Linked DNA regions of Mus musculus. The protein of the gene in region 3 purifies or fractionates together with the protein of the main gene of each other region. This does not show direct contact. Links are inferred from orthologs where the notes say so. Each region holds a gene or a part of one and is shown on either strand. Other genes may lie near its edges.

Region 1 (3,649 bases), on a different chromosome or scaffold from region 3:
TCTTTCCCATGGCAGTGGGCTTGCTGCTTGAGCTGGGCTCAGCCCAAGTGGTTGCCTGCATCTGGGAGATAAGGGTTGCTGGCAGAGGGCGTTGTGGAACAGGGCCAGTCCAGGCGTCTTGGCTGGGTTAGGGCTGGCTGTGATAAGAGTCATCTTCATGCTGCCTCTCTACTTCCCAGTGACAATGTGGCACCCAGCTCAACATTCTGCAAGGTCTATACGCTGACTCCCTTCCTGGCCAACAACCGAGAGAAGCGGGGACTCGCCCTCGACGGGAAGCTCAAGCATGAGGACACGAATCTGGCTTCCAGCACGCTGTGAGTGAGAGCCCGCCCCTAAGACCCAGATGCTATGAGTGAGAGCCCGCCCCTAAGACCCAGATGCTGTGAGTCCCAGGCCCCCCGGTGCCCTCTCCACGACGGGGCCCCACCCTCTTGGCCCACCACCATGAGGATGAGGTTTAGGCTCTTGCCCAAGTCTTGACTAGGGCCAGTCCCCTGGAGTGTGGCTACCCAGGGAGGATCTCTTTCTACTCCTACCCACCCAGCCAAAGACTACCGGGTCCCATCATTTGCCTCTGGGGGACACAACCAGAAAAGCTTTCTTTAAGAATTGGCAGCTCTTAGCCCAAAGTCCTGAATACAGACTGGGGTGTGTCCCTGATGCTGTCAGGGTTGGAGGGGAGAGAATCGCTTCTAGAAGAGTACTGGAAGGAGATAAATGGGGGCTTGGAGAGGCTGGGGAAAAGAGGGGAACTGGGTATAGATATGGGGGTCCTTCCACATGAGGCACCATTAGGCCATTTGGTCCATGGGCATCACTGAGCCTTCAGGGTTGTCCCACCCTAGAAGAGTTCAGACAGTTGTGGGGGGACTTTCATTCCCTCTGATGATATCTGGCTCTCTGCAAGGGATTTGGTCTTTGTCTGTTGATTCCGAGACCACGCTCCCCACTCTCAGACTTGGCTCAGGCTAGACAATCACATTATCACCCCTCATAGGCCTCCCATTTACCAACAAGCTCTTTGTCCTCCTTTTACTCTGACTTGTACCTGATCTGCCCTCAACACCCCACCACCAGGTATCTACTTAGCATATCCTTCCCATGTTACCCTGACTCCCAGCTACCCTTGGCTTCTCAGCTCTCAGTGTGGCTCTTTCTGCTTGTGGGTTACCGAGCATAAGCAGTGTGAGAGAAGTAAGTGGTGGGAGGGCGGTTAGGGCCTGTTCTCACGGCACTGTGTGGCACTGGTGAGGCAGGGAGGAGAGTCCACTAGGGCTACAGAACAAGGACATCTTATCGCTAGATGTGGAACCCAAGGAACTAGGGTCATAGCTCAGTGGTAGAGCGCTTGCCCATCAGGCATGAGACTGTGGATTTAATCTCCAGTACCACAAAGAGGGACATAAACAGAATCCAGGCCTACAAGTGCCAGTGCACTGGGCTCAGCTCCCTTTCCTAACTGTTGGACCTGGAGGCTCAGGAGATGGATGGACAGTGGTGCCTCCCAACATATGCCAATGCCTACCACATTCCGCCCACCAAGGAGCCCCAAGGTCCAGCTTCCCCGTCTTCCTGCAGGTTGCGGGAAGGTGCCAACCGTGAAATCCTGGGCATCATCGTTTCCTACAAAGTCAAGGTGAAACTGGTGGTGTCCCGGGGCGGGTAAGTCCAGCTGTCCCAGAACCCCTGCTCGTCCCACCTGCTTGCTTGGCCTTTAGCTGCATCTTCTCATTGAGGAGGCGAGACTTAAGGACTTGCTTTTCTCTCCCCTCCTCTGATTTCTTCTCCACTGGCTGGAGCGCCTCCTCTCCTCCATCTCTATCCCTCTCTCCTGCTCCTTAGCCTAGGCCCGAGTCTGGCTCTGGGGACTGGGTACAGCCTATATGAATCTGGGTGTCCTCAGACTGTGCCGTGACTCTCGGGCTACAAGGACTTCCTCACATCTCAGGACACAGTGTGCACACACGGCTCTCGGAGATCGAAAAACCCAGAGCTGAATTGGGGGGGGGGTTCCTAATTGGCTAACTTTCCCATTTTATAGATGGGGAAAAATGAAGCCTAAATAGTTCTGCTGACAGACTAAGTAGCGTTAGTTAGGGCAATGCCTCCAAGCCAAGGATGGTGCAAGGTGGTCATAGCCCTTGGGAGGGAGAGGCAGGAGAGCGGGCATTCAAGGCCATTCTTGGCAGCATAGTGAGTTTGAGGTGGACTGACAAAGAATATTGTCTCTGCGGCTGGCAGTGTTAATACTGACTTTATATAACAGAACAATTCTAAGCCCCGTGGACAGTCTTGTGTTCTGTGACTTTGCAGGACCCACAGTCTTCTCACTTTCTACTGACCTCCCCAAAGTCTTCCTTCTGCTATTAGATAGCCTGGAAGCAGGGAGACTAGTTTTTACAGATGAAGATCCTGGGGTCCAGGGGCTCTGCAAGCCCATCCCTCTGTGCCCTAGAAGAGATGGCAGCTGCCCAGGGGTTGGGAGCGTGTCCTTTGGCGGGGTGGCGGAGCAGTGAATGAATGTCCTTTCTCTTTTCTCCCGCTCTGCACTCTGTCCTGACCGCTTCTTCTGCCTCCTCTGGTCCACTCAGCCTCTTGGGAGACCTTGCATCCAGGTAAAGCCCCTCCTTTGTCTGCTTTGTCTACCTTCCTGGAGGCCCTGGGGTCATAGACCCAGCTGATCAGAACCACAGGGTACCCAGAGGGAAGGAGGGATCTAGGGTTATTTCAGATTTCAGTCTGGGGATGTGTTGCAACAGGAACTCTGCCAGGACAGGCTGGGGGATGTGGCTTCTAGCAGAACACCTCGACTGCTTTCCGTCCCACTCAAGTGACAGGACCTTTGCAGACAACAGAGATACAGGCAGTGGCCCCTAGTAGGGGCATCGGCATTACTGACCTGAGTCCTAGGATGTTCGAGAGATGCATCCTTCGTGACTTTCAGACATCTACTCCACTGAGAATTCATGGCTAACTGTGGTCAATTACCCTTGCTCCCAGACCACACGTAGGGGTGGGTGTGTCTCAGACATGATTGTGTGATCTCCTGTTGTCACACAATGACTGTGTCACTCATCCTATGAGATCTGAGTGAATCAAGAGACAATTCCATCTCTTCAGTGTCCAACAGCAAAGAGTTTGAGTCCAGACTTGTGGCCAGGCTTGTGCAGTATACTGGAGTCCCAGCAGGGAGACAGTAGTGTCCTTACTAGTCACAGCCTAGCAAGGCTGAGTCCCAGGTCCTTCCAGCCACATCCAGTATGGCTTCATGGAAGGCTGACTGTATCTGGCTTGTACCAGTCCATCACACCCAGGCCCTTCCCACTTCACAGCTGGCAACATGACCAGTAAGATGTGGTTGTGTTTTCTGGAGACACTCATAATTTTAGGGAGGCTCTGCTAAGATATGCCACCCTTAGCAGTGAGGAGCCTTCAGGGCTACGTTTAATCAGTCTTTTAATTCTGTTTATCATCCAGTGGCTAAGGGGATGGGTGATTGAGCCAGAGTCTTTCTGCACTTACTGCCAATAGCTGTGCAGCCTGAGGCAAGAGGCTAATCTCTGAGTGCCTAAACCTAGGGCATCTTAATAATAGGGCTGTAGTGAAGAGGATCGCAGGAGTTGTTCTAAGGAGGGGCTTGGTACAC
Region 2 (3,649 bases), on a different chromosome or scaffold from region 3:
AATAGATATAGACCTGGGGTTGGATCCAGTGGTATGCCTGGCCCTGGTTGCCTTTCCCAACAGACATCTGGAAGCCTTGAATGGAGTTTGACATTAGTTCTCAATTTGCAGCAGTTCCATGAAAATGTATGAAAGTAGAGTTCTGCTGGGGAAATGAGCTCTGAATCACTTCTGAGTGACACATCCTTCTCTGGAAAGGAAGTGTCTGACATACTTAAGTTTTTTGCACAGGGCAGAATGCAGATTTATAGCCATGCCTGTCAATGAACCACTTCCATCTCTGCGTTCATCCTAAAAACTAAAGCTTTTAGTGACAAAGGACAGTGGCACTTCCCTGCAACTCTTCCAGTGTTGAGTGTAGTAACAAAGCTGAGGCTGGAGACTAGGTTCTTGACTGAGTTGTTGGTATAGAGTCAAACCAGAAACTGTTGAGTAGCCCAAGCTATGGATAAGTCTAAGGCACCAGATCTCAGGAGCTCTGCCTTGGTAGGGACGAAGATCCCACAGTGGACTGTGGAAAATAAGAGGATGACCAGCAAGCTGGCTCAGTGGGTAAAGGCACTTACTGCCACACCCGATAGCCTGAGTTTGATTCCTGGAACCCACATGGTGAAAGGTAGAATCAATTCTTTTTAGTTCTCCTCTTGCTTCTGCATGCCCAGCAACACACACACACACACACACACACACACACACACACACACACACACACATGCACGCGCGCGTGACAAGCTAAGAGCTGTCCCATACACACAATGACATTTGTATGAGGTCCTAAAATAGTTACGGTCTTCACTGACACACAAGTCTAACTTTAGCCACATTAATCACCACTTTATCTGACCCTATTTTGTTGGATTGGCCATGCAGCACCCTGACATGAATGCAAGCTGACCACAGACAGCCCAGCTTCAGTGCTGAGTCAGCTGCATCTACAAGTGGCCAAGTGAACTCTAGGGTTGCTTTGCAATAATGAGAGGTTTGATGTAGATGATCTCAGAGGTCTTAGGCTGCTCTTGATTTCTCCTAATTCAATTCAGAGTTGAGTGTGTGTGTGTGTGTGTGTGTGTGTGTGTGTGTGTGTGTGTGTGTACATGCACATCCATGCCCATACATGTGAAAGCCAGAGGTGGATGTCCAGTGTCTGTCTTCCTCTACTGTTGTCCACTGTAGTTTTTGAGATGGTATATCTATCCAAACCTGGGACTCACTAAATAGCTAGGTTGACTGGCCATCAAGCCAGCTCTGTGACTACAGGCATGCATTGTCCCACCCAGGTTTTGAGTGTGTGTAAGAGGTGTATATATGCCAGGCAATGGTGGCACATGCCTTTAATCCCAGCACTAGGGAGGCAGAGGCAGGTAGATTTCTGAGTTCGAGGCCAGCCTGAGATCCAGGACAGCCAGGGCTACACAGAGAAACGCTGTCTCGAAAACCATGTGTGTGTGTGTATGTGTGTGTGTGTGTGTGTGTGTGTGTATACACATGAATGTGTACATACACAGACCCAGACCCATGCATGTACATGCAGAGGCCAGAACCAAACACTGGGTGTCTTCCTTTATTGATCTTATTGCCTTGAGATAAGATCTCTCACTGGCTTTTAGAAGCTTAGGTCCATTTTTCCCTCTGTCCCTCAATGCTGTGGTTACAGGAATGCACTGCCATGCCTAGTTTTGCATATTTTTTTCCTTCTCGGTTTTTCAAGAAGCCCTGTGTAGCCCTGTGTAGCCCTGGCTGTCCTGGAACTCACTCTGTAGAAAGAACTCAAAGATCCACCTGCCTCTGCCTCCCAAATGCTGGGATTAAAGGTGTGGGCCACCACTGCCCAGATCCCATGTCCACCTTTTTATGGGGGTGATTTGAACTCAGGTCTTCGTGCTCATAAAATAAGCGTTTTCCTGAACCCCATCAATGGCACTTTCCAATACCCAAGTTGAGCACAAGGACCTACAAGTTCTTATTGCACCACCAAAGGCCACTGTACCTTCCTGTCCTCTACGTACGACACAAAAACCCGAAGTGACTTTGCCTGCTTTCTTTTATTTCAGTCTTCCCTGAATCCTCCTTAGTAGTAACAGTCCTGTCCTTTTAAAAGGCTTAGGAAACACACCGTATCAAAGGATGTAATTAGTTATTAGCTTTAAGATGATTTCTCTGCAGGGTTAATGGAATCAAGAGAGCCTCAGAGCAGGGAGCTCACTGCTTTGGGAATCAGGTGATTATGCCCAGTATGTTAATGAGATGTAGAAGGAAAAGGAAGCTTAAAAGGTGAAGCCTGGCAGCACGCCCTCAAACCCATGAAATTAATTTCCAAATACAGGAAGGAAGTTACTCCAAGGTGCAGGCTCCCTGTAGCTCCCTTAGAAGGTCAGATACCAAGCACTGAGTCTGGGAAACAGTGTTTGGTGTCTTCAGTACAAAGGTGGATTTGTGTGTGTGCGCGAGTGTGCGTCCATATTATTACTTATCTCATTGCTATGTCAAAATCCTCTACAAAGGCAACATAAAGAAGGAAGGGTTTTACTTGGATCAGAGTTCCAAGGAATCCTGTCCATCATAGTGAAGAAACACCAGGAGCAGGAGGCATCTACTTATATTGTATCTCTAGTCAGGAAGCAGAGAAAGATGAGCTGGTGCTCAGCTCATTTTCTGCTTTGTATTCAGTTCAAGACCCCATCCCACGGTCAAGGTGGGTCTTCCCCCTCTTAACTAATCTAATCTAGAAAAATCTCTTATAGATGTGCCCAGAAATTTGTTTCTATGGTGATACCAGACTCTGTCAGGTTGACAGTTTAGATTAACTACCACAAGGGAATGCCCCCCACCCCCACCCCCCAAGCAGCAGCCCAGCCAGAGGGAAGTGAAAGAGGGGGCAGAGGAAATTGAGCATGGGATAATCGTTTCTGCTAAAGCCCAGCCTCTCCTGGGTGAGACATAGAATGTTCCAGGACTGCAGTGATACACTGTCAGCCCCAGGTTGTACCACATGAGGCAGTGGAGCCAGACCGTCTCAGTCTGAGTATGCAGCCCAGAATGAGAACATGGCCAAGCCTTAGGCTTCTCTCATCCAAAATAACTCCCCAGCCAAGGCACTAAAGGCCAGCAGTCAGGGGTGGTTACAGCACCTGGGCACAATCCCAAAGAGCCTACTTTAGGGGCTGAAGAGGAAGAGCAGAATGAGCCTTGCAGTATCCCTGATCAAAAACTTGTTTTTGTGTCTATGTTACAGACTGCATGTCAGGCCCGTGTCCTTTTGGGGAGGTTCATCTTCAGCCATCCACATCAGAGCTACCCATCCTCAACAGAACCTTCATCTGGGATGTTAGAGCTCATAAGAGCATTGGCTTGGAGCTGCAGTTCGCAACCCCTCGACTGAGGCAGATTGGACCAGGCGAGAGCTGTGCAGACGGGGTGACTCACTCCATCAGTGGCCATATAGATGCCACTGAGGTCAGAATTGGGACCTTCTGCAGTAATGGCACCGTGTCCCGGATCAAGATGCAAGAGGGTGTGAAAATGGCCTTACACCTGCCCTGGTTCCACCGCAGGAACGTCTCAGGCTTCAGTATTGCAAATCGGTCATCTATCAAACGTGAGTATGCACCTCCTGTCCCCACTGTGTGATCAGATGGATGTATGCAGAACG
Region 3 (3,649 bases):
TTTGAGCAGGTGACTTTTGTGCCGCAGGCCCCTGGGGAATAGATGTCTACAGGAGGGTGTTTGCCTGACCCCAGAGCCAATGTGCACATGATACATAGAGCCGTACACACAGGGCAGGGAAGCCAGCTTGCTGTGGGACCCTGCCTGAGCCCCATTCCCTGCCTCCATCTCCAGAACATGCTGATGGCCTGTGTCACCGCCTCACTACCGTATGTCCCACATCCAAGCCTCAGACCCAGGGATTGGCCAAGGATGCGTGGGAGATCCCCCGGGAGTCCCTGCGGCTGGAGGTCAAGCTGGGCCAGGGTTGCTTCGGAGAGGTGTGGATGGGTAAGGAACACACGCCCCTGTCCCCATCCCAGCTCAAAGACCCTGAGTCCCTCTCTTTAATTGTCTCTACTGAACAACTGGGCTGTTTTTCATTTTATTGTTGAACATTAACTGTACAAATTGTTACACTTGTTACAATTGTTTTCCTGTGACACTTTGAACCCCGCATGTAACATACTTGGCTCACTTCCAGTCCCTCACCCCACTCCCTGCCCCCCACCCCACGCTATGACTCACCAGGGTCAGCACTGAGGTGGGCTCCTGACTCCTTGTAACCCATGCTGCTGAAGATGAAGACTAGGGCATCTGTGTACCAGCCGCACCTGGGGACTGGGCACCACGGTCCTCAAGGGCCTGAGTGAGTGTGGTCAGGTCTCACGCCAAGCCTCAGCCTCCCGATGTGAAGAAGGGGCTGATGCCAAGCTTCAAGGGGCATCTGCATATTAGTTCAGCACAGAAAGAGACAGCGCTGTGCCGTGCGGAGGGAGTGGTGGGAAGTCAGTGTTCGGTTTCCTGTCTAATTGTGCAGCCATCGAGAGGCTCCTGGAGCATCGAGCTGCCTTAGCCAAACCCAGGCTCCCTGCTATGGCTGCTTCTACCCGGGTACCCACGAGTAGAGGGGGACTATGGGGCTGTAGTGGCTGTTGCCGTTTCACCATCTTCCTTTCAGAGGGCACTGGAGGGGCCGGGTCAGGTAGGCAAGGGAAGTCTTGGGTTGTGAGGAGGAAGGTCAGAGGGAGAAGCCAGCTTTTAAGGTGAGACCAAAAGGAGGGTTTGGGTAGAGCCTGAGTGAGCCACGGCCTTGGTCTTTCTCAACCTCATCTATGATTCTTGGTGTGTGGTGGGAATCTGAGGGCTTCCCACCTTTCCCTGGAGCTCTGCGCAGACCAGCAACCACCGGGAATCAGGGCATCCGGCCTGACCCGACACAGCTAGAGAGCTGACCCAGTCTACCCTCTGACCTGTCTCTGTGACAGGGAGGTCTCCCTGCCTAATGCAGCACAGGCACTGAGCTGACCTCTTGCCCCCAGTGACCCCAGACACAGCCCTCTCCCTCCTCTGACCCGTGCTGTGGTTGCTGGTGCCTCGGGTACTGACTACCCACCCATCAGGCTGCTGTTCGGCTTCCTGTCCTGTCCTAAGCAGTCAACATCCTAGTAGCAGTCACATTGTGAGCAGGCTCCAGACACACAGTTCACAGCCCTGGGAGGGGTCTCCATTCCCTGAGCCTATTTAATAAGTGTGAATGGAGAGTCTCAGCGTGGTATCTGGCCTTGCCCAAAGCCCATGCCCTGAGTTCAGAGGCAGAGATTGAGACAGGCACTTGTGTGGACTCGCCTGGGTGGCCCCAGTGCAGCAGAATGATAGCCTGTGCTCATGTTCCCACGTCTCTCCCCGACAGGGACCTGGAACGGCACCACGAGGGTTGCCATCAAAACTCTGAAGCCAGGCACCATGTCCCCAGAGGCCTTCCTGCAGGAGGCCCAAGTCATGAAGAAACTGAGGCACGAGAAACTGGTGCAGCTGTATGCTGTGGTGTCGGAAGAACCCATTTACATTGTGACAGAGTACATGAACAAGGGTAAGGTCTGAGCCCGGGGTGACCTTTTCAGGTGCCCACGCAGGGCGGGCCAAGGGCAACTTACTCCTTACCCCAGACCACCCCAATGAGTGTACGCTACATCAGGGACTGACTGCCTCTCTCCTTTTGTAAATAATAACAAATCTAGTGGGTTTTTTTCTAAAAGACGGCTTCTTTTGTCCTTTCCCACTGTCACGATCCCTGTTGTTGCTGGTTTGGTGGCACACACCTGTAATCTCAGTGCCCGGGGGTTGAAGCAGGAGATCGTGAGTTTGAGGCCAGGCTGGGTACATAGCAGGACTGTCTCTGTCTTGGTAAGCAGCAGTGTGGGGCTGAGGTTGTAGCTGGGTTGGTAGAGTGCTTTCCTAGCTTGCACAAGGCCCTGGGTTTGGTCTTAGGTTTGATCCCCAGTACTGCAAGAATTAGGCACACACCTGCAATCCCGGCACCGGGGAGATAGAGGTAGGAGGGTCAGGAGTTCAAGGTCAGCCTATAGAGTTGGGTTGCTTGAGACCCTGTCTCAAAACAAAAATATATGTACAGCATCCACATTACCTACCCCAGAGTTCCCTGCTGTCCTTAGTGCTGTGACTCTCCATCCAGCTTCAGCCTCAGGCAGCCACTGGCTAGCCGGGTTTGGTCCTGATAAACCTGTTTGTCTTGGGCTTTGCACATGATCTTTTGCATCTTATAACCCCCTGTTGTGTCTGCCTGACCTCCTCCCTACCCCACTTACTCCAAGGGCCCAGTAGCATTCCTTGATCTAGCTCCCTGGAGTCTTGGCCTTTGAGCAGCCCTGGCCAGGGTCTGGAAGCCACAGTTTCCTGCACAGGGAGACCCAGGCAAGGCTAGAGCTGGATCTCTCTCTCCAGGGAGTCTGCTGGACTTTCTCAAGGGGGAAACGGGCAAATATTTGCGGCTACCCCAGCTGGTGGACATGTCTGCTCAGGTGAGTCTCCTCTTCCACCTTCCTACACCTTTGGCTCTCGGGCTCAGTGCGCCCCCTTCAGGATGCCTGCTTTCATTACACCAGACTCTCACCTGGCAGGCGCCTGGGGTGGTACGCCACATCTGGGAATCAGAGGCACATACACATAATTAAGAATAAAAATAAAATATTAAAAGTTTAAAATTTATTACTTCCATTTGCTAGATGAGGAAACCGAGGGACAGAGAGGGGTCTTGGGACAACAGGCAGGACCTGGCACGCATCTGTGTCTATGGGTCATCTGGGGCCTCTTTTGTATATACTCGCCTGCCCGCCTGGCTGTGTCTTATTGTGACCTCCCATTGCCCTTTGCTGTCCCCTCTCCCCCTGAGCTTTGGTCTACCTTTTCAAGCCAGTGCTGTTTATTATAAGCTGAATGAAGTTCCTTGCTTGAAAAGACACGAGGTGGGCAGGGTGTTTGGGCATCCTTCTATCCTTCTATCAGGAATAACCAGCCCGAGACACCGGCTTACAGCACTGGGACGGGTGTGGGTTAGCCCCTGAGCCAGGCTCTCTGTCTCCACAGATCGCTTCAGGCATGGCCTATGTGGAGCGGATGAACTATGTGCACCGGGACCTTCGAGCCGCCAATATCCTAGTAGGGGAGAACCTGGTGTGCAAAGTGGCCGACTTTGGGTTGGCCCGGCTCATAGAAGACAACGAATACACAGCCCGGCAAGGTGGGGGTGCCTGGGGGTTATCCGATGGTATCCGTCTGTCAGGTGGAAGTGAGAGTCATGCTCCTGCGG

Evidence for each region.
Region 1: the proteins of Src (region 3) and Arrb1 purify together in Homo sapiens (affinity purification with western blotting; 3 studies listed by BioGRID and IntAct, with this or other methods). This does not show direct contact. The link is inferred for Mus musculus from reciprocal best matches to the Homo sapiens genes SRC and ARRB1.
Region 2: the proteins of Src (region 3) and Cdcp1 purify together in Homo sapiens (co-immunoprecipitation; 4 studies listed by BioGRID and IntAct, with this or other methods). This does not show direct contact. The link is inferred for Mus musculus from reciprocal best matches to the Homo sapiens genes SRC and CDCP1.

Annotation. Positions count from the first base shown.
Region 1 is NC_000073.6:99,594,442-99,598,090, forward strand, and holds part of Arrb1 (beta-arrestin-1), read left to right. Parts: intron 1-179; coding exon 180-317; intron 318-1,581; coding exon 1,582-1,665; intron 1,666-2,594; coding exon 2,595-2,618; intron 2,619-3,649. UniProt on the Homo sapiens protein: Functions in regulating agonist-mediated G-protein coupled receptor (GPCR) signaling by mediating both receptor desensitization and resensitization processes.
Region 2 is NC_000075.6:123,184,999-123,188,647, reverse strand, and holds part of Cdcp1 (CUB domain-containing protein 1 precursor), read left to right. Parts: intron 1-3,232; coding exon 3,233-3,595; intron 3,596-3,649. UniProt on the Homo sapiens protein: May be involved in cell adhesion and cell matrix association. May play a role in the regulation of anchorage versus migration or proliferation versus differentiation via its phosphorylation.
Region 3 is NC_000068.7:157,465,699-157,469,347, forward strand, and holds part of Src (neuronal proto-oncogene tyrosine-protein kinase Src), read left to right. Parts: intron 1-174; coding exon 175-330; intron 331-1,732; coding exon 1,733-1,912; intron 1,913-2,784; coding exon 2,785-2,861; intron 2,862-3,426; coding exon 3,427-3,580; intron 3,581-3,649. UniProt on the Homo sapiens protein: Non-receptor protein tyrosine kinase which is activated following engagement of many different classes of cellular receptors including immune response receptors, integrins and other adhesion receptors, receptor protein tyrosine kinases, G protein-coupled receptors as well as cytokine receptors.